Arabidopsis thaliana: one gene and its partners. The protein of the gene in region 3 purifies or fractionates together with the protein of the main gene of each other region. This does not show direct contact. Each region holds a gene or a part of one and is shown on either strand. Other genes may lie near its edges.

What was found. The genes of interacting proteins can lie anywhere in the genome.
Region 1: the proteins of ATZW10 (region 3) and AT2G42700 purify together in Arabidopsis thaliana (affinity purification with mass spectrometry, with the first as the bait; one study listed by BioGRID). This does not show direct contact.
Region 2: the proteins of ATZW10 (region 3) and AT5G24350 purify together in Arabidopsis thaliana (affinity purification with mass spectrometry, with the first as the bait; one study listed by BioGRID). This does not show direct contact.

What each region holds. Positions count from the first base shown.
Region 1 is NC_003071.7:17,776,554-17,784,176, reverse strand, and holds AT2G42700 (vesicle docking protein), read right to left. Parts: upstream 5,904-7,623; 5' UTR 5,714-5,903; coding exon 5,666-5,713; intron 5,504-5,665; exon of another isoform or gene 5,452-5,503; coding exon 5,308-5,451; intron 5,095-5,307; coding exon 4,945-5,094; intron 4,653-4,944; coding exon 4,209-4,652; intron 4,042-4,208; coding exon 2,509-4,041; intron 2,428-2,508; coding exon 2,143-2,427; 3' UTR 1,990-2,142; downstream 1-1,989. Other genes in the region: AT2G42710 (Ribosomal protein L1p/L10e family), read right to left, coding at 19-63, 157-221, 386-488, 576-617, 758-835, 1,232-1,825; AT2G42690 (alpha/beta-Hydrolases superfamily protein), read left to right, coding at 6,495-7,511, 7,600-7,623. UniProt on the Arabidopsis thaliana protein: Required for proper maturation of seed storage proteins. Forms a complex with MAG2, ZW10/MIP1 and MIP2 on the endoplasmic reticulum that may be responsible for efficient transport of seed storage proteins.
Region 2 is NC_003076.8:8,299,180-8,305,593, forward strand, and holds the start of AT5G24350 (neuroblastoma-amplified sequence protein), read left to right. Parts: upstream 1-1,925; 5' UTR 1,926-2,131; intron 2,132-2,311; exon of another isoform or gene 2,312-2,326; 5' UTR 2,327-2,357; coding exon 2,358-2,444; intron 2,445-2,520; coding exon 2,521-2,572; intron 2,573-2,721; coding exon 2,722-2,895; intron 2,896-3,259; coding exon 3,260-3,458; intron 3,459-3,652; coding exon 3,653-3,861; intron 3,862-4,110; coding exon 4,111-5,077; intron 5,078-5,306; coding exon 5,307-5,379; intron 5,380-5,452; coding exon of another isoform or gene 5,453-5,465; coding exon 5,466-6,387; intron 6,388-6,414. Other genes in the region: AT5G24340 (3'-5' exonuclease domain-containing protein), read left to right, coding at 1-44, 373-669. UniProt on the Arabidopsis thaliana protein: Required for proper maturation of seed storage proteins. Forms a complex with MAG2, ZW10/MIP1 and MIP3 on the endoplasmic reticulum that may be responsible for efficient transport of seed storage proteins.
Region 3 is NC_003071.7:13,950,474-13,959,435, reverse strand, and holds ATZW10 (centromere/kinetochore protein, putative (ZW10)), read right to left. Parts: upstream 5,772-8,962; 5' UTR 5,630-5,771; coding exon 5,072-5,629; intron 4,974-5,071; coding exon 4,836-4,973; intron 4,729-4,835; coding exon 4,555-4,728; intron 4,421-4,554; coding exon 4,259-4,420; intron 4,134-4,258; coding exon 3,903-4,133; intron 3,813-3,902; coding exon 3,699-3,812; intron 3,620-3,698; coding exon 3,527-3,619; intron 3,395-3,526; coding exon 3,299-3,394; intron 3,148-3,298; coding exon 3,019-3,147; intron 2,923-3,018; coding exon 2,845-2,922; intron 2,754-2,844; coding exon 2,595-2,753; intron 2,514-2,594; coding exon 2,384-2,513; intron 2,271-2,383; coding exon 2,188-2,270; intron 2,050-2,187; coding exon 1,966-2,049; 3' UTR 1,688-1,965; downstream 1-1,687. Other genes in the region: AT2G32905 (B3 domain protein, putative (DUF313)), read right to left, coding at 370-1,011; RALFL17 (RALF-like 17), read left to right, coding at 6,145-6,378; AT2G32885 (Rapid alkalinization factor (RALF) family protein), read right to left, coding at 6,956-7,174; AT2G32880 (TRAF-like family protein), read left to right, coding at 8,931-8,961. UniProt on the Arabidopsis thaliana protein: May be required for accurate chromosome segregation. Required for proper maturation of seed storage proteins. Forms a complex with MAG2, MIP2 and MIP3 on the endoplasmic reticulum that may be responsible for efficient transport of seed storage proteins.

The sequences.
Region 1 (7,623 bases), 3.8 Mb from region 3:
TGAAAGAATCAAACTCACTTTGGGGTTTGGCATCAAACCATGATTGTTAAGAATTCTTGATATCTGCAAATAAGCACAAACCATATGTATGTTATGTGAGAAGATATCGCAACATCATGTTCCAAAGAATTTAAACAAGTGCTCAAATCCAAGAACCTTGTAAACACGGGGCATCATTTTTGGAGTTGCAAGACATCTATCAAAGTCAATCTTGCCACTTTCTGCAGATAGAGTTAAGGTACACAGATAAATAATCTACCACTGGAACATAATTCGATAAACAAAAAGATTGCTCAGGAAATGAGATAAGTTGTGGCAGAGCCAAATGCAAGCATGTTCAATTAGATGTCAGAATGAATTGAAGTAGAATGCATTGGTTCATTACTCAAGATCTCTTCAATAAGCTCAAGACCACCAACGACATCAGCTCCTGCAGCTTTTGCATCCTCTGCATCAGCTCCCTCGGCAAAGAAAGCCACTTTCACATCCTGAACAAGGAAGATCATTTCTTGTATTATATTAGTGGCTGGTAAAATAGAAATTCCGATTATGGATTACAAATGCATTTCTTTTACCTTCTTAACAGAGTGGGGTAGAGCCAAAGTACCACGAACTATCTGCAATTTAAACAGTGATAGCAGTCAGTCTAGAGATAAAGCCAGGGGCAATCAACCAAAATGCTAAGAACGCGATCTTTTTATTAAGAATAGGATAGAGAAATTAATGTATTTCCAGAGAAAATAAATGCATCACATACCAGCTCAGATCTTCCTTTTTCAATGCCCAATCTCACATGCGCCTCAAGAGTTTCATCAAATTTCGCCTTGGCATTGCCCTGAACCATTGATAAAAACAGCATCAGAAATGAAAACCATACGAACAAAAGGGATGCATTGCCCTCACTCACTCAACTTGTAAATCAACTCAGCAACAACAACTATTACCAGTTTACAGAATCCACAAATCTCACAGTACCACCATTACACAAAACTTGCATGATCTAAACTAATCCACAACGTCTAACAATTCTTCCAAGACTCCTTATGTTTCACATTATATAGTCATATGATCCTAATCATCATAGCTTCCTTTATAATAGTCATTTGAAATCCCCTAACTACGAAACAAGCAAAAAAATTAATCCTTTGACACAAAATAAATAAATTAAAAGAACCCTAAATAGTGTAGCTTCCATTCTATTACAATGGCAGCTCATATTAAGAATCCTGACCTTAATCTCTCTAATGGCCTCCATGAGATCGAAAATAGGTTTCTTTCCATGCTTCAACTCTGGTTTAAGCAAAGTTGGCAAAGGAAGTGAAGAAGTATCTTCTTCAACAGCATTAGCTCTTAAAAACCTTCTTCTAGCTCGATTCTCTAATTCAATCCTCTTCCTCTCCCTCTCCATCTCCTCTGGAGTTCTATCTCCTTCATTCTCACCGGCGACACGATCCTCCGGAAGTGGAGCCACACGCTGAGCGTAAGAAACCGGATTGATCGAAGGAGAGTCTTTCACATATCGGATTTCTTCACGAGTCCAGTTCGCTGATTCTGGAGACTGAAGGTTCTCCGTCGATTCAACATTTTTCGGTTCAGATTTCTGATCCTTGGGTTTGGCCGCGTACGATACTGGCTCGATTGTAACAGCCTTTTTGCGAGATTCGTTTGAATCGGGAGATGGATTCGAATCGGATGATGAAGATGAAGATGAAGATGAAGATGAAGATGAAGAGAAGAGTCTTGGGATTTGTTGAAATGGAGACGAAAAGGGTTTGATTAGACCTTGGCGGCGAGCTTGAGAGAGTAGGAGCTTCATAGCTGCCATTGTTTCTTCACTCACTCGAGGTTTTTCGTGTGAAATGTGATTTTGGGGGTTTAAGGAGATTTCTGATTTTTAACTTAAAAGCTTTTCTGTAAATGTTATAAAACTTTAGGGACCAAAGATATAAATAATTTGAGATTTTTTTTTGAAAAATCTCTTATTCACAATTAATAACCAATCTTTTCTTATCTCTTGAAAATGGAACTATTGTTTTGTAGATTTTAACATTCGATCATTAATTTATTCATGGGTATTTCTGTTTCTTCTAATGTTACAAGCTAACAACAGAGATTATGAGAGTGAGGTCAGTTTGCAAGATATCAAAAATGGCTGAATTGTCCCAACAATAACTCAAACATGTCGTCGGGGGTTAGAAGTGTCGTTCCTCCAATAACCAAGTTAATGTCTGGTCTTCCGCTCTCTGACACAGCCTCTTGAGCTTCCAAAACCTTAACAATGGAGGAAACATAGACAGTTATAAAAAATATAGCCCTACAACGTGAATGCGAGGTGACTTTTGTGATGAAGAAACTCACCTCTATACCGTTGATACCTCCAATGACAAAGACAAGAATGACACTCTGGTCTGCCAGGCTTGGTTTTGCCTGCAATAGCATTGCCAAACATTAATGTATATCTTGTGTAGGAAAATGAAAGTCATGGGTAGAGAGAAAGGTCTAACTAACCTGACCAAGACCAAACCTTCCAAATCCGCTTTTAATAAATCTTCCAACAGTTGAAGAATGGTATTCTAAACCGGGTATCTCTTGTTTGCTCAACACTTTTGTTATAAGCCTGTAGACTAGCCCTTTGTTTCCAGAAGGCTCGCCAGGAAAGCTGCTCTCTGAAGCCAATGAGCCTTCTCTTAATGGTAGATTCCTTGTTCTTAGACTCGATAACTTGTGGAGGAACCTAAATAAGCTGTCTACTCTATCACGCAAATCCAGTTTCAGCTGCATATCGTCATAGGACTCGTCTGCTTTACTATTGTCAACTTCTTCTTCTTCCTCGTCACCCCATTTCCCCCATGGATCATCATCAAGAGCATCAATGTCTAATTGATCATCAGAGGGAATTTCTTTGGTTTCCTCAGACTTGAGACGATTCAATCTGCCCTCAAGCTCTTCTGTCAACCCATTAAGAAACTTGAGATTTCCTGCTGATGGATTCTCCAGAACAGCATCGACAATGGCTTCTTTTAGAAAATGCTCTTCTTGCCAAGAGAAAGGCCCACCTGAGCCAGATGTAGGGAAATTTTCGCCAGCAAGAATGTAACCAACTATTGTAAGAAGCAGGGCATCACGAAAAGATAGCAGCCCTCGTGATGAGGAATCTGGTTTCTCGTTTTTCTTCGCTTGAAGTTCTGCCACAGCGCTTTTGTTGATCAGGTCACTAATTTGAGCAGCCAAACCCTGACTCGTATCACCAGCACTTACGTTTAACATCATCTCCGCACTGCTAAAAGTATCCCATTTGGCACTTTGAGATTCATCAAGAGCAGCGGCTGTAGCTGCCCCTAACTGAATAATCCCTTTATTTTTCAACAAAGACGACTGGCTTTGGGACAATGCTTTGATCATGGCCTGGAGCTCCGGTTTTGTAGCATAACCAGGACGAGCTCTCACGTTAACAGAGATATTTTCGCGACGCAAAGCCTCTTGAAGCCATTTCTTCACCAGTACACTTCCATCCTTCGTTTTCCTATCAATCATGGCCTCTAAGTAAGGTGTTCCTCTAAAACATTCAGTAGCGACAAGAGATCCATTTAGTAGTTCAGTCCAGTTGGTGGTAGATTTCTTGTCACATTCATTAAACAAACCTACATTTTGTGGAGCAGAGGTATATGAATCCCAGCCACGTAAAAAAGCTTCAATTCCTTCAGGAAGACCAGAATCCCGAATCTTGCTTGGTTCTTCATTAAGCAGTTCCCCAAGCGGCACTTGAACATCAAGAGAAGGACGATTGATGCTTGGGACCCCTTGTTTAAGCTGTGCTTGTGAAGAAAATCTTTCTGCCCGAGGCAAAGATGAAAAGATACGATCGAAAAGTGAATCCCCGTGACAGCAGGGAGTGATAAGATCAAGTGTGCGGTCAACAAGTAACAAGCCAGCAGATCGCTTACGACGCGCTACATCATAAACACTTGACATGTCTGTTAGAATCTTCCCAACATTCTTCGATTGGTCACCAAGTGAAAATATTTCCAACTTCAACTCCATCTACAATTTTAAAAAAGTGACGACATGGTCACAAATTTAAGAAAAACGTACAGAAGAAATTAAATTATTGACAAACAAGGGAAACAGATATCTTCTAGTGTTCTAGCTCACGTACTTCATGAACATCGTGAATTAAGTTCAAAGCGGTTACTGCAGTGTTAGTTTACCTTAAGGGCCAGCTGGTAAAGAAAATGTGCGGTAAGAGTTGCACCAGGAGGAACATCATCAGTGTCAGACATAGATCCAGTACTTATGGGAGGCAAACCAAAACTAAGAGAATCCTCATGTTGACGGGACAAGGACGCTTCTGCGACTGATCCTTGGGAAGGTAAGACAAACGCTCGAGGAGTGAAAGGACAAATAATCAAGGGGAAGTGGTGAACTGAGACAACCAAACCTTGTGCACCACCTGATGAAATATCTACATTTTCGCTTTCAATAGGCTCCATAGTAAGGGATTCAAGTGCAGAAGAGAACTTAGAAACCCCTTTGTCTTTAGATATTTTGTCGCTTTTCTTAGTATGTTCATTGTAATCCTGAACAAGTAAGGTTTCATACTCTCGATACGCGTCTGGACCTAGAGGTGAATCAGGGATAGCTGAGTGAGACCCCTGTACAACGTTCAGATTAATATTCAATGACGCAAGAAAAGAAACAAATATTCTGAAGAGTCTCTTATAGATGGAAAATTATTTTGAAGAAGGCATAGAGAAGCAGAACTGCTAAATTAAGTTAGAGAATACATTACAATCACTTTGAATTTGATTATATAACGATCACTAGTGTTGATAAGTCAAATAGCTTGTGATTGTTCTAGAAAATAAAAAAGCCAATATATATATCCAGAGAAAAAAAAGAGATTAAATAAAGAATGAGACCAAGGATAACGTTAAAGAAGAGCACCTCTGAAATAGATGTGAATACGGTGCAGCGCTGAACACCTTCATGGGTGCTTAGACACCGTAGCATATACCGATGAGCATCATTGAGAAGTCGAGATGTCATAATCACAATTCTCTTGGCACAATCAGACTTTGAATTCCAATCAGCCACCTAGAGCACAAGGCATCAAAAGTCACATCATATAAATTAAATCAGAAGATTTCTCACTTTCTAGGTAAAAAGATCCCCTTCATACCAAAAGTATGAGGATAACAATCTTCCTGTTCTTTATCTAGATCCTCAATTACCAACACTAACCGTTGATTGATAGGATATTCCTTAGCCAACATTGTGCAGGAAAAAAAGAAACGGTAACAAGCTTACCGCATCTAAGGAAGTCATGTTTTCAAGACTGCAGACAGCTCGAGCACCTAGTTCCAAGAACAAAGGGAAAGCTCCTACAAATTGAAAACTTTCTGTGCAGCCAGCATCGATATACACAATCGCATCTTTTACATCCTCTTCTATCTACAAAACAAAACATTTCCAAAATATCTAAACCTTACTTGTTCAGGATTACAGTAAGGTACTTTTACATTTCCCAAGAACACACAAAAACGAGCAAAACGAGATCATGGAGAAATCGTAATGATTCAGGTGCAGCAGATCAAAACGTGTAACAAGATGAGACCAGATGAAAAAAAAAAAAAAAAAAAAAAAAAAGAGAATTCGGATTTCTTACTTCGCGGATCGAATTGAGACAAGATATCGCGACATCGATCAGAGCCATTGCTCTCAGCTACGAGAATTGGATACAATTGGTCGAGCTAGAGTGAAATCGCCAGTTAGAATCAAATTACTATGAGATGTGTTGTCTGAAATCAGACTGATGCCTGAACCACCGGAGAAACACTGCTTTCGCTTCGCCGGGAAATCTCACCGACGACGAACATGATAGCTTAACTTGATATCGTTCGTCGTATGATCGTCACTTTGTTGGGCTTTTTTACACTTTTTGGGCTTTGAATTATCTTTGATTTATTATGGCCCATCATATATTAGTTAACGGGTCTAGGATGCAATGTTATCAAAGGGGGATATATTGGAGATGAAAGTGATTAACTGAAACATAACATTGGTTAACAAATCATTTGCACTATTGAAGGATGGGTGTTGGTGGGGTCGCGAAAAACAAAGGCATGCTCAAGACCGAGGCTGGTGATTGGGTCATGGCCATTCCGGACGACGAAGACAAGCCTGTCGTCGCGTTTGATTAGTTGCAAACAAACAATAAGTCTCTTTTCGTGTGTATCGATTGATTTGGTTGAATTTTCTTCTCTCTATTTGATTGGGTTTATTTTTACTCTTTTTTGTATGGTTGAGAATGATGTGCAAGTTTGTGGATAATTCTATATGCCAATAATATTCCCACACCAGTGATAACCTTTTATCGCTTTGGACATAAGTGGGTCAGACAGCATCATCACCAGTCCACAACCATTTGTATAAAGTTAAACAACTTAAGAGTCAAGAGTCACTTATTATCTCCTTACACACACCATTTCTCTCTAATGGCTACAACAACCACATCATGGGAAGAACTCTTAGGCTCAAAGAATTGGGACACTATCTTAGACCCATTAGACCAATCACTTAGGGAACTCATCTTACGTTGTGGCGACTTTTGTCAAGCCACCTACGATGCCTTCGTCAACGACCAAAACTCCAAGTACTGTGGAGCCAGCCGCTACGGCAAATCTTCTTTCTTCGACAAGGTCATGCTCGAAAACGCTTCCGACTACGAGGTTGTAAACTTCCTCTACGCCACAGCTCGTGTTTCTCTCCCCGAAGGTTTGCTTCTCCAATCACAATCAAGAGATTCTTGGGACCGTGAGTCTAACTGGTTTGGCTACATTGCTGTCACGTCTGATGAACGGTCTAAGGCTTTAGGACGCCGTGAGATCTATATAGCTTTGAGAGGAACGAGCAGGAACTATGAGTGGGTCAATGTTTTGGGTGCTAGGCCAACTTCAGCTGACCCCTTGCTGCACGGACCCGAGCAGGATGGTTCTGGTGGTGTAGTTGAAGGTACGACTTTTGATAGTGACAGTGAAGATGAAGAAGGGTGTAAGGTGATGCTCGGGTGGCTCACAATCTATACTTCTAATCACCCCGAATCGAAATTCACTAAGCTGAGTCTACGGTCACAGTTGTTAGCCAAGATCAAGGAGCTTCTGTTGAAGTATAAGGACGAGAAACCGAGCATTGTGTTGACTGGACATAGCTTGGGAGCTACAGAGGCTGTTCTGGCCGCCTATGATATAGCTGAGAACGGTTCCAGTGATGATGTTCCGGTCACTGCTATAGTCTTTGGTTGTCCACAGGTAGGAAACAAGGAGTTCAGAGACGAAGTAATGAGTCACAAGAACTTAAAGATCCTCCATGTAAGGAACACGATTGATCTCTTAACTCGATACCCAGGGGGACTTTTAGGGTATGTGGACATAGGAATAAACTTTGTGATCGATACAAAGAAGTCACCGTTCCTAAGCGATTCAAGGAATCCAGGGGATTGGCATAATCTTCAGGTAAGAATCTGTGAGAAGAATCTTTCAAATTTGACTCAAACGATACAGAGTAGAAACTTTTACATATTTTTTCCATGTATGTGTGCAGGCGATGTTACATGTTGTAGCTGGA
Region 2 (6,414 bases), on a different chromosome or scaffold from region 3:
TATATCGAGTAAAGAGTCTTCTTAAAAATGAGCAGCTACTTGAGGTACAAACAAAGTTAATTTTCAACGTATAAGCTGTTATGCAAGATCTGTGATGTGGCATGATTTGGTTTACTAGATTTATTAATCAAAAAGGACACATACCCTGGAAATTTTGCTTTAAAGAATAGGATCTCTCAAGACACTAGTTAACAAATTTATTTTTAACCTTACTTTCTGGGTGGAACATTTTCTACACTACCTGTAATTATGGCATGCTTGGATTCACCGAGCCAAAATAACCTCGTCCACTCACTGTGCAACCACTTTTCTTACATTCAGTAGAATGATTACGGATTTTTTGTGAATTACTGAAACAAATAAGCTTCGCAGGTGATAGAGACTTTCCAGCTAAAGATCAGCGGAAATCAGCTGATGTCCAGATGTACGAAGTGCAATGGGAAATTTATTCAGAAACCTCTAAGCATTGAAGAAGCTATTGAAGCAGCAAAGGGTTTCCAAAGAATACCCAACTGCTTATTTAACAAAAATTTAGAGTTTTGGCAGTGCATGAACTGCCATCAACTATACTGGGAGGTAAGTCACCTACCCCATCTTTTGCCGTTGTGCATTATAGTTCTTGAACGAGTATACCTTGTGTCAAAAAATCATCTGGTCCATCTATGTTAGTTGTTTTGCTGATTGAACAGTCAAATTTTAGTTGCCTAACGATATTTATCAAATCAGTGATCCAATTAATATTTGTATGAAGTCTTAGTTGGTGAATTGAATCTTGATTTCTTTAAAACATCTTCATGTGTTCATGTCTTAGAGCAGAAATCATCTCCACAAGATTCATAACTTCCTATATAGCTCTGATCTGTTCTGTCTCTAATAGTCAGTGTCCGACATATTTAATGTTTGTTATGTGGTTTCAGGGAACTCAGTATCATAACGCAGTCCAGAAGTTCATGGAAGTATGCAAGTTGAGTGAGTGATTCACTTTTTTTTTTTTTTTTTGGGTTTTTACAATTTTGGTGAAGTGTTCAATCTCTCGTTACCTCAGTTCCTCAAATGTTTTTATTTTATATCAAACGTCTCTAAGCAAACAAGATGTGTTTGTAACTTGTGTCGTTTGCACACATGTGTTCCAGAGGTTATTAACCGTGTACAAATGTTTTAGTTTGTTTTACAAAGTTGAACACATTACTATCTTATGAGAAGAATAGACTTGTAGTATTTTCTATTTACCAGTTAAATTCTTGCATAATTTTCAAAGTGGAATATTATTTTCAATATGCTTTCTTGAGATGATGGCTTTTCTAGCCGTAGATTCATGCATTTTAAATATGATGATATACCAAATTTAGGTATTGTGGATTGGATTGGTCTAGTTCATTAGTTAGGCAAAAAATTTAACCTCATCAAATCAACATTACCTCTCTTCCTAATTTTCTCCATTGAATTCTTGTTCAACCATTTTTTTTCTTTCACTAGCAAATACGGTGATGAACTCGAAAATGATATCTTTGCGACAGATGAATTAACCGGTATAATTGGAAAGCGTTTCTTGAGCATCAGTGTTCCTACTTGAGGAAGAGTTGTCTTGTAGACCTAAACAAGAGATCAATTGCCCCAACACGAAACTATGTAGATCAAATAAGTATTTAGTTCACTCTTCTTTGCTCACTTCAAATATGTTTTAGACTTATTAGAAAATCCGGTGAGTCAGATATTCGACGGGCACATTCACATCGGAATTAATAGTTTCATAGGGTGTTGTCTCTTAAATTTGGACCGACCGGTTGGATTGCCTATCTGCCGTATAAAGAAAATAAGACAAGAGAACATTAATTTCATGGTTGAACCGGACGGTTCTTGGCTAAATTGAACCGAACCGATTGATTTCAGAAGGTATGTATAACTTTTTTTACGGAGTCGTCATCACTTTCTCTGCTCGTCGGCGAAGTTCACATTCACCGGTCGTATAGTGTCTTCGTCTCCTTCCTCGTGAAATTTGTTCATCACAGTCTCTACAGTCACCACCATAGGAGGTCGTACCGCCGGATCTTCGCCACACCATTAATTTCTGCGTTCTCTCTTCTCAATTCGCCGCCGATCTCTCTGAGCGTAATTACCAAATCGTGCTTAGGTATGTCATCAAATCTTGTCTCACACCTTCCAATTCATCTCCATGCACTAATTCATTAAGTAATTAGTCAAGGGTTTAATTCAAACTTTATGGTTAAATCGACGAGAGTGCTGATGTTTTGGGGTTAGGGTGTGAAGAAAATTATATTGATTCTCTCTCTCTCTCTCTCCTGCTAATTAGATCTCCTTCTCCTAGAAACTGCTGTGAGGATCGATCTCGATTGATCATGGAAAGTCCTGGAAGAAAAGTTTTGTATGAGATACGTCATCATGCTTCATTGCCTTATGTTCCTAGATATCCTCCTCTTCCTCAGGTACAAGATTCATCATTGCTTATACAATTTAGTGTTTTACTTATATCTTACGCTTTGATCCGCTGTCCAAGTTTAGGCAGATGGAACTAATTCGAAAGGAGGACTTCGGTCACTTGTTTCCATCAAAGGTCAGTCGCAGATGGTTAACTCAGAGATCTGTGATTTTTGAATCTTTGGTTTTATGAGCTTGTAGGAATCATGTTTGTGTACATCTCTTTTCATTAAATTAGCAGTATAGCTCATTGGTTCTTCATCTCTGTGCTCTTATGGTATTAAGGTGTTAGTCAACTCAAGGAAAAGTGGAGTGAATACTGGAATCCGAAAAAAACTAATAAGCCGGTGTCGTTATTTATTTCACCAAGAGGAGAACTTGTGGCTGTCACTTCTGGAAATCACGTTACTATCTTGCGAAAGGATGATGATTACAGGAAACCTTGTGGCAATTTTACATGTAAGAAATTCTGGCATATCTTCCCTTGCTTTCACAAATGTTTGCCTGATTATGTTTTTCGGGGTCATTGCCATAGCACACTCAATAAACGAATTTGTAGAATATTGCATTTATCTTGTCAAAAACTATCTACTTGATTTACTCTGATAACAAACGCCTATAAAACTTGCATTTGCTTCTTTTTCTCTCTAAGTTTAGTATGTGGAATCACCGTTTTGTGAAACCTTAGACTGTACCAGTCATTTATTCTGTTCATTAAAAAAATATGCTCTCCTCACAATACCGTTTTCCTTCTTTCTGTTTCTTAACTTATGGTCCTTTGATGTCTATGCTATGGTCCTCTAACTTCTGTATTCTGCATCAGCCAGCATATCAGGTTCATTTACTTCTGGAGTATGGTCCGAAAAACATGATGTTCTTGGTCTTGTGGATGATAGTGAGACCCTCTTTTTCATCAGAGCTAATGGCGAAGAAATAAGTCAGGTCACAAAAAGAAACTTGAAGGTTTCTGCACCAGTATTAGGATTAATGGAGGACGACTCTGATTTGCAACCATCATGCTTGTACGTTTCCTTCTGTTCATATTTCTTATTGATTAAGACTTACAGAGTACTTTGTTCAAAAAAAAAAACAGACTAAAGGAGTACTCTGGGATCCTAATGTGTCCTTGACCATTACAGTATACTTGTTTGCTTAAGGTCTACGGCTGATATGAAATTTTGACTGGTGGTCTGTGCTAATGATAATTTGCCTGCAGGTGTTCGTTCAGTATACTTACGTCAGATGGACGTATTCATCATGTCGAGATCAGTAGGGAGCCAAGTGCTTCTGCCTTTTCCAAGCATGCTTCAAATAGTGTCTCAAAGCAATTCCCCAACCACGTTTTCTGCTTTGATTACCATCCAGATCTTTCTTTTCTTCTCATTGTTGGTAGTGTTGCAGGCATATCATCGTCAGGGAGTTCTGGTAAGTTTTATACAACTTATTTTAGTTGAGGAAAGTTTGGAATTAGGAGTAATTAAAAAGCTACACTTGCTTGAAATCATTCAATTTGGCAAACCATAGCTGCGTACTATTATATGAGAATGCTACCTATACTTTATCAGTGTTTGTGATAGTTGAATGAAAAATGTGGTTGTTGAAATATTTCCGATGAACAGAGATGTTAGGTTCATGATTCTGCGATAATTAATGTTTTAATTTACTTACTTTCAGGTTCATCGTGTATCTCGCTTTGGCGTAAGTGTCAGAATTTAGGTCTGGAATTGTTGTCCACCACAAAGTTTGATGGCGTGTATTGTGAGAACAAAGATGATCAGTTGGCATATCCAAAGACTTTAATCTCCCCTCAAGGGTCACATGTTGCAAGTCTTGATAGCAATGGGTGCGTGCATATTTTCCAGTTAGATAAAGCAAGATTGACACTTTCGTGCTGTCCTTCTGAAGACAGTTCTGATTCACTGAAGCCAGATAAGTCGCTACAAAGTTGGAAAGAAAGTTTAAGAAATGTCGTAGATTTTACTTGGTGGTCTGATCACGCCCTTGCAATTTTGAAAAGGAGCGGTAACATTAGTATATTTGACATCAGTAGGTGTGTTATAGTTCAAGAGGATGCTACCATTTATTCTATGCCTGTCGTGGAAAGAGTTCAGAAATATGAAGGACACATTTTTCTTTTAGAAAGTTCAACACAGGAAGCAAAATCAGCTCTGGCCAATGTTGACAGGGACGCAAGTGAATTTCATCATACTAGTGAGCATAGTATGTTATGGAGGCTAATATCATTTACTGAGAAAACAATTCCTGAAATGTATAAAATCTTAGTTGAGAAATGCCAATATCAAGAAGCGTTAGATTTCTCTGATAGTCATGGCTTGGACAGAGATGAAGTTTTCAAGTCAAGATGGTTGAAGTCAGAAAAAGGAGTCAGTGATGTGAGCACGATTCTATCAAAGATAAAAGATAAAGCTTTTGTGCTCTCCGAATGCTTAGATAGAATTGGGCCAACAGAAGATTCCATGAAGGCCTTACTTGCGCATGGACTTTATCTAACCAATCACTATGTATTTGCTAAATCTGAAGATCAAGAATCCCAACAACTTTGGGAATTTCGTTTGGCTAGGCTTCGTCTATTACAGTTTAGTGAAAGGCTTGACACCTATTTGGGGATAAGCATGGGCAGGTATATATCTTTACTCTTGCTATCTTCTCTTCCTTTCTGCAGATAGGAAACCTGGTATGCCATATAGTACTAGTCTTGCATATCCAGGAGATTCTATGGTTATCTAACACAGGATGAGTGTCATTTAGAATTTGGTTAGAATTTGTCGATTCTAGAGTTTAAAGTGGTTTTGTGGGTTTGATTGCAACTTGAAAACTTAGAAGTTAGAACCCTCTTTTGCCACCCTTAGATACCCACTCAGGCAAGTTTCATCTGATATCACCAAGCTCTTTGCATATGGGTTCTGCATTTCAGAATTTTCGGTTCCTTTTTATCTGCTGTTAAACTTCACTATCCAGTTACTTCTTAAAATGGTTAATGACATTGTCTCCACAGATATTCTGTGCAGGATTACAGAAAATTTCGGAGTAATCCTATCAATCAGGCTGCTATTTCACTTGCTGAGAGCGGGAGAATAGGAGCCTTAAACCTGCTATTTAAGCGGCATCCTTATTCACTTGTTTCGTTTATGCTGCAAATTTTGGCAGCTATTCCTGAAACAGTCCCTGTTGAAACGTATGCACATCTTCTTCCGGGAAAATCTCCTCCAACCAGTATGGCAGTGAGAGAAGAAGATTGGGTTGAATGTGAGAAGATGGTTAAGTTTATTAATAACTTGCCGGAGAATGGCAAGAATGATTCTCTGATTCAAACTGAGCCAATTGTTAGAAGGTGTTTGGGGTATAATTGGCCATCATCAGAAGAACTTGCTGCATGGTACAAAAGTAGAGCTAGAGATATTGATTCGACCACTGGGCTGTTAGACAACTGCATTTGCTTGATTGATATTGCATGTCGAAAAGGCATATCTGAGTTGGAACAGTTCCATGAGGATCTATCATACTTGCACCAGATAATTTATTCTGACGAAATTGGAGGCGAAATCTGCTTCAGCTTAAGCCTTGCTGGGTGGGAGCATTTATCTGATTATGAGAAATTTAAAATAATGCTTGAAGGGGTTAAAGCTGATACTGTGGTTAGAAGATTGCATGAGAAGGCAATTCCATTTATGCAGAAAAGGTTTTTGGGGACAAACAACCAGAATGTGGAGTCCTTTCTAGTTAAATGGCTGAAGGAGATGGCAGCAAAAAGTGATATGGATTTATGCTCAAAAGTTATTGATGAAGGGTGCATTGATTTATATACTGTTTGTTTTTTTAAGGATGATGTTGAAGCTGTTGATTGTGCTCTGCAATGTTTGTATCTGTGCAAAGTTACGGATAAGTGGAATGTCATGGCAACAATGCTATCAAAGCTACCAAAGATAAATGGTTAGTTGTCCAGATCCAATGTATTCC
Region 3 (8,962 bases):
AAGTCTCTGTCTTTTTTTTCATCACTTGTAATCTTAAGCTAATCAATTAAATCCCGAAAAGGTTTCCAAATCAAGAAAATGTAAAAAGACTGTAATTGACATGTATAGAGATCCGGGCAGAATCAAAATGAATAAGCTCAAACTTTGGTTACCCTGAAATTGAGATTGATTTGAAACAAACCCGAAAAGGAAAAAAACAAATCGAATCTAGAGTCTGCTCGAAGAACTCTTACAGAATCGAAGAAAGAGCAGGATTTCTATGACGATGATGATGATGTTTCTCCAAATCCGCGGCACAAGGTTCTGATTAGATCTCTAGAAAGATCTTATCACAATCGAATAGAAAGAAGAAGGAATTGACCAAAGAGTTTAGAGGAAGAAAGCTTGTTCCTTTATGATTCTTGTTTCTTCCTCTGTTAAAAAGTCTGGACTTTTCACTTGTTTAAAAGGTACTGAGAGACGTGCTTGAAGACTAGCGAGATCAGTCTTATAGAGTTTTCTCGTTGAGATCAATTTTGGATTGTAGCTGTTCTCTTCTCTCTTCATTACTTTCAAAAGCCATTCCGGTGGTGATGTTTGAATTGGTTCCACCTCTAAAGGACTATCGATTTTGAGTCTCTTGCGAGTACTCTCTTCTTTGTCCATGTGGCGACGTTTCTTGAAGTGGGTAACGCAAGAGGAAGAAGAAGGTTCAGATTCCGGGTTAGGGTTTTGTAGTTCAGATGATCTCTGTTGTTCGATCACACGCGTCCATGGTGTTATCGTCTTGTTAGAAGAAGAAGATGATCGGTGAGTTCTGTTCTTTCTAGGTATTGTATCTCCAAAGATTCTTGCTTCTGTCTCTGTATCTTCGTCAATGGTCTTTGACTTGTGTTCGTCATGAGTACCGTACTCATGATCGTAAACCATGACAGCGACTTGTATCAACATCTCGAAGTTTGAGAATTCACTCGACTCTGAAACCCTAGGATCATCAGATTCATCCATTCTCTTCGATTCTCTGGAAGACATGGGAAATTGTAAAAAGAATTTGTAACGTTGTACGCAAGAAACCTAAAGATGGGGAAGAAGAAAGAAAGAAAGAGAGCTAGAGGAAAGACAATGAGCGTGAGAATGGAAACTTGAAAGTAAGAGAGAAGGTAGAGATAGATAGATGTGTGGTGTTATTAAATAGAAATATATGACGTCATCTCAAGTTCTTGATAGATCACTAAATCTAATAAGATCTTCTAATGAAATTTTTCCTTTTCGGGCCCTTAATTATGACCGTTATGTGATTTTGTTAACATTTTAAACATGTGGCCAACATAAGGAAAAATACCAATGTCGACAAAAAAAAAAAAGGAAAAATACCAATGTCTCTTAACTCTATTTCTTAATGTAATTTTGTTGGTTTATGAGACCAAAATATTTTCCTAGTGTTCATAACTTAATATTAGTTTATGAAATAGTTTTTAATATAATATTAGCATCTAAACACATCATACATTATATTTGAATAAGTATATCAAAAGTTTAATTTCATTGAAAATCATTGTATCAATAATTTCATAGAAATATTTAGTGTTTTCATGTGTTACGGTTTTCAATATCCTATCAGTTTCTTCTTTTTTATTTTTATTTTTTTTATATTAGTTTCTTAGTTAAGGGTTTTCAAGTTTTTAGCTAACTGGAAAATGCAATATTTGGAGAATTTGTACCGGAAAATTGTTGTTACCCAGAGCGTTTTACTTGTTGAATCTAAAGCCCAAATGTACAACAAAATCTGGAACACGCTTTTAAACCTAAAGTTTTAAACTCATCAGCTAAAACTCTCTTTACATATATATTCTTACACAAGAGTGCGTCGTCGATGTTACAAGCTGCTGACATTAAAATACCTCATGGCTCTTTTGCCAAAATAGGCTTTCACTTGCTTCTTCTCACAAGTCTTGAGTTTTTTTTTTAAGTTTTATCATTTCCAATCTACTGGTTAACCTCGTCTATCCTCCATAAGCATTCTTTTCTCAGCGGCGAATCTGTAAATATAGCTTTGATGAAATCTTGTACCTGTAACCAAGTACATTCCAAAAGCTTTCAGAATCACCATAACCAATAATCAAAGATCCAATAATCACCATAAGAAATAGCCTTAATCCATATATCAGGTAGTAGGACACGAGGTCAAACGATTTAAAAAGATTGTACCTCTGTTCTTGTGAAATTGCATCTAAATAACTCCCCGCTTTCCCAAGCTGAAGTTATAGACATGAGAGGCATATCCAATAGTTCTGGAAAATGATAAACAATAAGAAAAGCCATGGTAAGAAAACTTCGCTGCGCCAATGTCAAGTTAGCAATAAACTGAGGGATATTTAAAAGAAAAAAGAAAGAAAAGACATGCCTGCTAGTTTACGGGTTTTGCGCAAAGATGGTATGATATCATCAAGAGGACGAGAAGTCTCATCTGCAGATCTCACGGAATCGAGTACAGAAGATAGATTCTTCAACATGAGATAAATCAGTTTTTGTAGCTGAGAATATATAAGCAAACATTTTCATTACGCAGTTAAAATATAACATTGCAGAAGCGACTAGCAAGGAGAAACAGCTACCTCGAAAGTTTCGTCAGCAGCCATGTCGTCTAGAAGAAGAATATCTCTAGCTATTCTGCGAAATACAGACTCCAAAACTGCGCACATGCTTTGCTTGTAAGTTTTGGGCCGTAAGACTGGCTCCCATATCATATGCACATTCTTTAGACTAAAGACAACCTATAAAACAATTGCATTTTCCTCATATAACTGACACTTTATTGGAAAGAAGGTAAGAGAAAAGCAAACAATTTCAAGTCTGTGTGTTTACCTGATCAATGCTAAATTCTGCAGATTTAAACTGTTTAATTTGATGAGTATTCTGAAATCCATCTGCACTATCTATAGCCTGATCGTAGATGCAAAATGTTAGACGAGGAATCAATACTGAGTACATAATATTACTTTGTAAGATTTAAGCACAGTTTTTTCCACACAGATTCACCTCTCGCAGACTTGAAATTACTAGATGAACTTGTTTTTGCAAAACTTCTTCGGCCATCAGTTTAAATCTTGGGGCTATGTCAGCAAAGACTGCATACTCCTTGATGGAGCTAGGGAAGCTAGCACGATACTGTGAACAAAAAATGATGATAAAGTCAGCAGAAGGGGATAATTATAACTTTCACCTGTCAATGAAAAGGATGCTTAAGAAGACAATTACTTAACCGAAAAAAAGAAATTAAAAATAGCGGTTTATCTTGCTTAAGACACATTGTTCATACCTCAAAAGCAAGGCCAAGTATCTCTTCGAACAAATATAGACAATCGTTGTGCAGAAGAACAGCAGCTTCATTGAGGCCATCGAGTTGTTTCTCTAGCTTCACATTTCAACGGAGTAAGGAAAAAGAAGAATAAGAATTTGTGCATATTGGTGAGAAATTTCCATGTGACGACAGTCACTATATTGATTCAGTTGTTAAATCTTCATTGAAAACTATTTTTTTACTGACCTTGACAGGAACAACAGCTTCATATAGAAGGATAGAATCTCTAGCAGCGTTGTAGAACTCTGAAGCAACCCTTGCAGAAGAAACACAGACATCCTGTATAAAAATGAGTTTATTATCCCAACCGTGTCTGGAAAAAGCTTATATTGAATTGCAAAAGTCTGAAAAGAGCCACCTCGAGCGTCTTATGCACCAAATTCATAAGTTGAGATGCAGCTTCAGATACCACACACCTTTCAGAGGAGAAAAGTAAGCAGACGATGTGCTTGGCATTCCTCATAGCAATATCCTGGAAAACGGAGTTCACAATCCTGATCTTTCACATGAAAAGGTTAATGCGGTAAATATGACATGATGATGATGAAAATCAAAAGCCCACCTGGGGAATCGTAAAGTTACACTGCAACAGCAAATTTCTTGCTTTTGCTAGGATTTCTATCTTCTTTCTAGATGCAAAATGAACCTCCACATCTTCAGCATATTTGCTGAGCCTACTCTCTGCGTCAGATGATGAAACAAAATTCAGTTCCTTTAGAGCGGCTTCGAATTGAGAGGTCCGCTCGATAATTTTCTGAAAGTCAGCAAGTTTTGAAGCATCTTCTGGGACAACCTGACTCCAAAGAAAACAATAACCTTTAAACAGACTACAACAGTTAAAGTACAAAGGAGAAGAGTGCTCTCACACCAAAGAAATTTCTACAAAATTTCACAACTTCACGAGTTCTAAAAGCAAACCTTTGAAAGAAATTTAGATATAATTAACTCTGATATCCTCGGCCATGTCAACCTCCCAAAAGAATGGATCCATGTAACGTTTCCAAAGCACAAGGAACTGCAAATGAACTTAACAACCTTAAGAATTCCAGAATACATTGCATCTCCATCCACATCTTCAAACTGCATTATTAAGTGGGTAAGTATTTAAAGGTTCAGAAGACATAGACCAAATGCAGGAAATATAAAAAGCACATAATCTATATAGGCTAGAGACAAAGAAGATATTCATGAGATGGACAGAGGCTTCTCTAGACCTTATGATCTGAGGATTGCTCTAGCCTTAGTGTCGCTTCGGTGACTTCCCCTGCGGATTTACATAAATCTTCCACAGCGGCAAAGGTAGATGCATGAGTTACAGCTGGAGTGATGACATGCTTAAAGATTGAGTCAGCTGCTTTCGCAAGCCCATAGTCTAATATTCCAATCACCTAGATAAATCCAGAACAGTCAAATGCCAAAAAGTGTAATCTAACAAATGACTTAACACAGAAATAAAAATAAAAATTGATACAGAAGTCAAATCATATATCCATACCTCCATTGCCTCTAGAACAGTACTAAGAGCGATTCCAGCAGTCTCACCAACGCTTAGCTGATACTTAATCCGGATTCTACTCGAGTCTAGCTCAAAACGCACTGCATTCTCCATGAACTTTGCAAGCACCTCTTGAATCTGCAAAACACATACACGATTCTTTGAAATGTGGATGCAAATTCGAAGATTAAAGACACTAAGCTAGCCATTGGCACTGAGTTTAACTAAGGTTGCACCTCGTCAAAGCAATTAGACCATTCCTTCCTAAGTAAAGCGTAAGCCACAGGTTCTCCATCTTCCTCTTCACCAATTCTCAATACAACTTTAAGTTCTCTGATTCTCTCAGCGGCGAATCTGAAACGTCCATTTTTCAAAGCTTCCTTCGTTTCCTGCAATGCCTCACAAATTCCCACGATCGCATTCACTAAATCAAGAGATTCTCTTTTCAATTTCACTTCCTTAGTCTTTTCCGTTATCTCATCTACCACACTGCGTATCTCAACATCAATCGGACGGTCAGAAACCAATTGTAGGACATCGGAGACGTCATCGGAGATCAGACGAGTCCTCGAGACGGTGTCTTGACAAAGAGAAAATAGCTCCGAGAAATCAGAGTGATGAGCGACGAGATAAGACTGAACTTTGGACTTGATCCGCAGAGAATGAGACTCTAAGCGGTTTATGAGGAGACGGAGATCCGGTGCAGATAACGGAGTTGTGGGATCGTTTAGATCGTGTCCGGCGAGAAGGTCCCGAACATTGATCGATTCAAACAACGCGTCTATCTCCGGCATGACGGAGGGACGGTGGTCGTTGTCGTCGGGGCTCTTTTCCGATTAGAGAGTAATTGGCGGTGATAGATTTGGCGGTGACGATGGACCTTATTGAACACGGACGTTTTTATTTTACTTTTACTATTGGGCCTATCAAATAAAATGTTAGGCTCAAGGCCCAAGTCTTCATCGGGAACTTGTAATAATGTATGTTTTTTGACATCGAAAACATGTCATTTTTTTGTTCCTTGTCACTAACGTACCACTTATTTAAATGATTTTCTTTATTTTTGCTATGAATATTCAAGTAAAATACTGCAACAGTTACTTAGCCTTAAGACCAGCTCAAAAGAAATCACTCTACTCCATTAATAGTAAATTCCATTTCTTATATAAGCACAATTGTAAGAGAAAAGCATAACAAAAGAACATAGTAAATAAAAAGAACAAAAGCTTTTAAAGTAAGTTGGATTAATCTATATTATCATTTGTTTTTCAGACAAGAGAAAGAGAGATAGAGAGAAAGTGTCTGATCCATGGCTGCATCTAGAGAATTTATTATATGTTGCTTCTTAACACTTCTCCTATGCAATTTCTTCATGAGAGTCGAGTCTGGTGCTGCTGCTGACGTCAGTAGAGGAGGATGCGGCGGCGGCGATGGCAGCCTCGGGGACGATAATGAGCGGTGTGTGGAGGCGGTGAAAGAAGACGACGACGATGATGTGGATGATGTTTACAAAGTGATCAACAAGATGAGGATATATGCTTGATCATGCATGCATGATGCATTCTTTATATATAGGGCTATTTATTTATTACTTTTTTTTCGTTTCCATTTTCTTTTCTCAAGTTTTTTCCGATTCTTCTGTTTTTCTCTTAATCTATTTGCTTTTTCTTTTTTCCCCTTAATGAGAGAGATTATGATCCGAAGAAGAACCTGTTGCCTTAAATATATGGTTTACTAACTTTCTTGGATCCGACAAGAATGTACTTATCCTAGCGTTACACATTTTACCTCTATTATAAGTACATTATTTATTTAAAAAAAACAACAAAATATATTAATTATTTTCTTATATAACAATACACATGAATTTTCTACATAAATATCCAAAAATATAACAAATGACTGGTAATATACAATTATCTTTTGCTAAGTTAGACAATACTAGCTTACCATACACGTACCAGTCTCAGCTTGCTGCTACTTAAAAAAACATTATTCTCATAGAATTAGTTACAAAAATTTTGTATTTTATAGTTTTACTAATTTAGTTGAAAAATTAAGTTTTATTTATGTAATTTTATCTTTTCTTCTTTTTTCAAGAAAAATTATATCTCATAGTATCAACCCCCACGACATCTTTGGCTAGCTTCGCAACCTGGTTTATACGGATTAGCCGGTTGCATCTTGCAACCAGCTGAAGATCCAGGAGCACAACCTTTGGGTAAATCTTCTCGCATAGCTGGAGCGCCTATACTGTTTGCCTCCGTTGTGCTCATGACGATAGATATAATAATTATAAGAGCAAATGATTGTACAACTGTTTTCTTGGATATACCCATTTTTCCTTATTGATAAACTTTTTTACTTTTTACTTCTTATTCCCAATAAACATTTGCGCTATTATATAGTGAAGATTTGTTGCTAAATAAAGAATTTTCTGATTGGTTTAGTCATTTGTAACCGTTGAATGTTTTGTCGGGTTTGCGCATTGTTTGGTGAACCATACTTATTATTATTATTTTTGTAAAAATAAAGATATCTCTAATCAAAGCCGTTTCTAATATTTTAGAGGCCAAAACAACTAAAGAAAATATTAAAATATGGTCGTTTTTTGATATTCAAATAAAAATTCGTTATAAGTTTTACTTCAAATTAAAACAAAAATTAACATAGTACTGTTAAATAAGTACATTATACCATATCTTGGTTCAAAATTTGTAGAGATATTGTAAACAAAACAAATAATGAAGAAAAAAAAAACAAAAAAGCCATGAAGAATGTTTCATAAAAGTAAAATTTCTAAATATAAAGTAAACAAAAGAGAGAGAGAAATGTTTTAAGTTAAATAGATGTTAAATAAAAAATGGATGTAAGAAAAAAAAGTTATTGATAAAAGAAGAAATATATCTAGGCACATTGCATTGTGTTGCTCGTCTCTGGCTAGGCGTACATATCTCGCCTTTATAATTGTCACCCCACTGTTGTTAGATTCTAGATAACGTGGGAATACATGTAGGTGCTTAATTGGTCGTACATGTCAAAACGAATGTGCTTGGTAGAAACAAAATAAAAGCTAGTGTGTTTGACGGGACCGGAGGATTCGTACTAGATATGATCGAATATTTCTATTTCTATGTGGAATTTAGTTATCTTCTCTAGCTTGGATTTTGTTAGACCGGCCAGCCAGTTCATGTGGTAGCATTATATTAGCAACACTAGTTACGTAAAGTTTTGTGCTCAGATCTGGGACATGCAACAAATGATATTATAATTTTGTATGCATGCAACGTAGTGGGAGATGTATCAGCTGTATCAACTAATGATATTATACAATATGTACAATTTACAAATGATATTCCCAAAGTAACGCCCCATGCACTAGGTCCTTCTAATAGGGTCACATATTTATCGGTCTATTCATTTACCCAAGGAAAGATAAATTGCTTTATTATGTTTAACCAAAATTCAGCATCTAATATAGCTTCGAAGTCATGAATTTGAAACCCTTTTTTTGTCAACAATATTATATTAATCTTCGAATGCGATTACAACCGAAAGAAACCGGGTACTCGATGCCGAAAAGTCCCGGAATGATACATAAATGAGATAGATTAAATAAACGGTTACAACCGTAGATAAGATTAAATACAAAACATGAATTTGAACTTAACATAGGAAACGAACTATTTTAACTTGTTGTAGTTGTTAACCCGAAAAGAGTTTGGATATTCTTACATTTAAAACTTTTTGGTTACCAAAAAAGTATTTAATACAAAGTAATTTTTATGTTGAATGATGTGCAAATGAATATATCCTCAAGGTTATCAATTTGGACCATACGGATTCCTGTCAAGACCAAACATGTGTAGGGGTGAATAAATTAGCCGAAAAACCGGCTCTACATTAAATTAAACTTGTTTTTTCTTTTTTTCTTTCTAAGAGCAACTAAGATATATATAACCGGTTCAATTTATACCCTAATTGAAACCCCTTTGTCAAGGAACCTGTCTATATATACAGACATATGCTTACTACTTTCTTCTCACTCCAATACAACTAAAAAAATCTACTACGGTGTATTATACGACGACCATCATGCTCAAAATGGGTCTAACGTCATTTGAAGG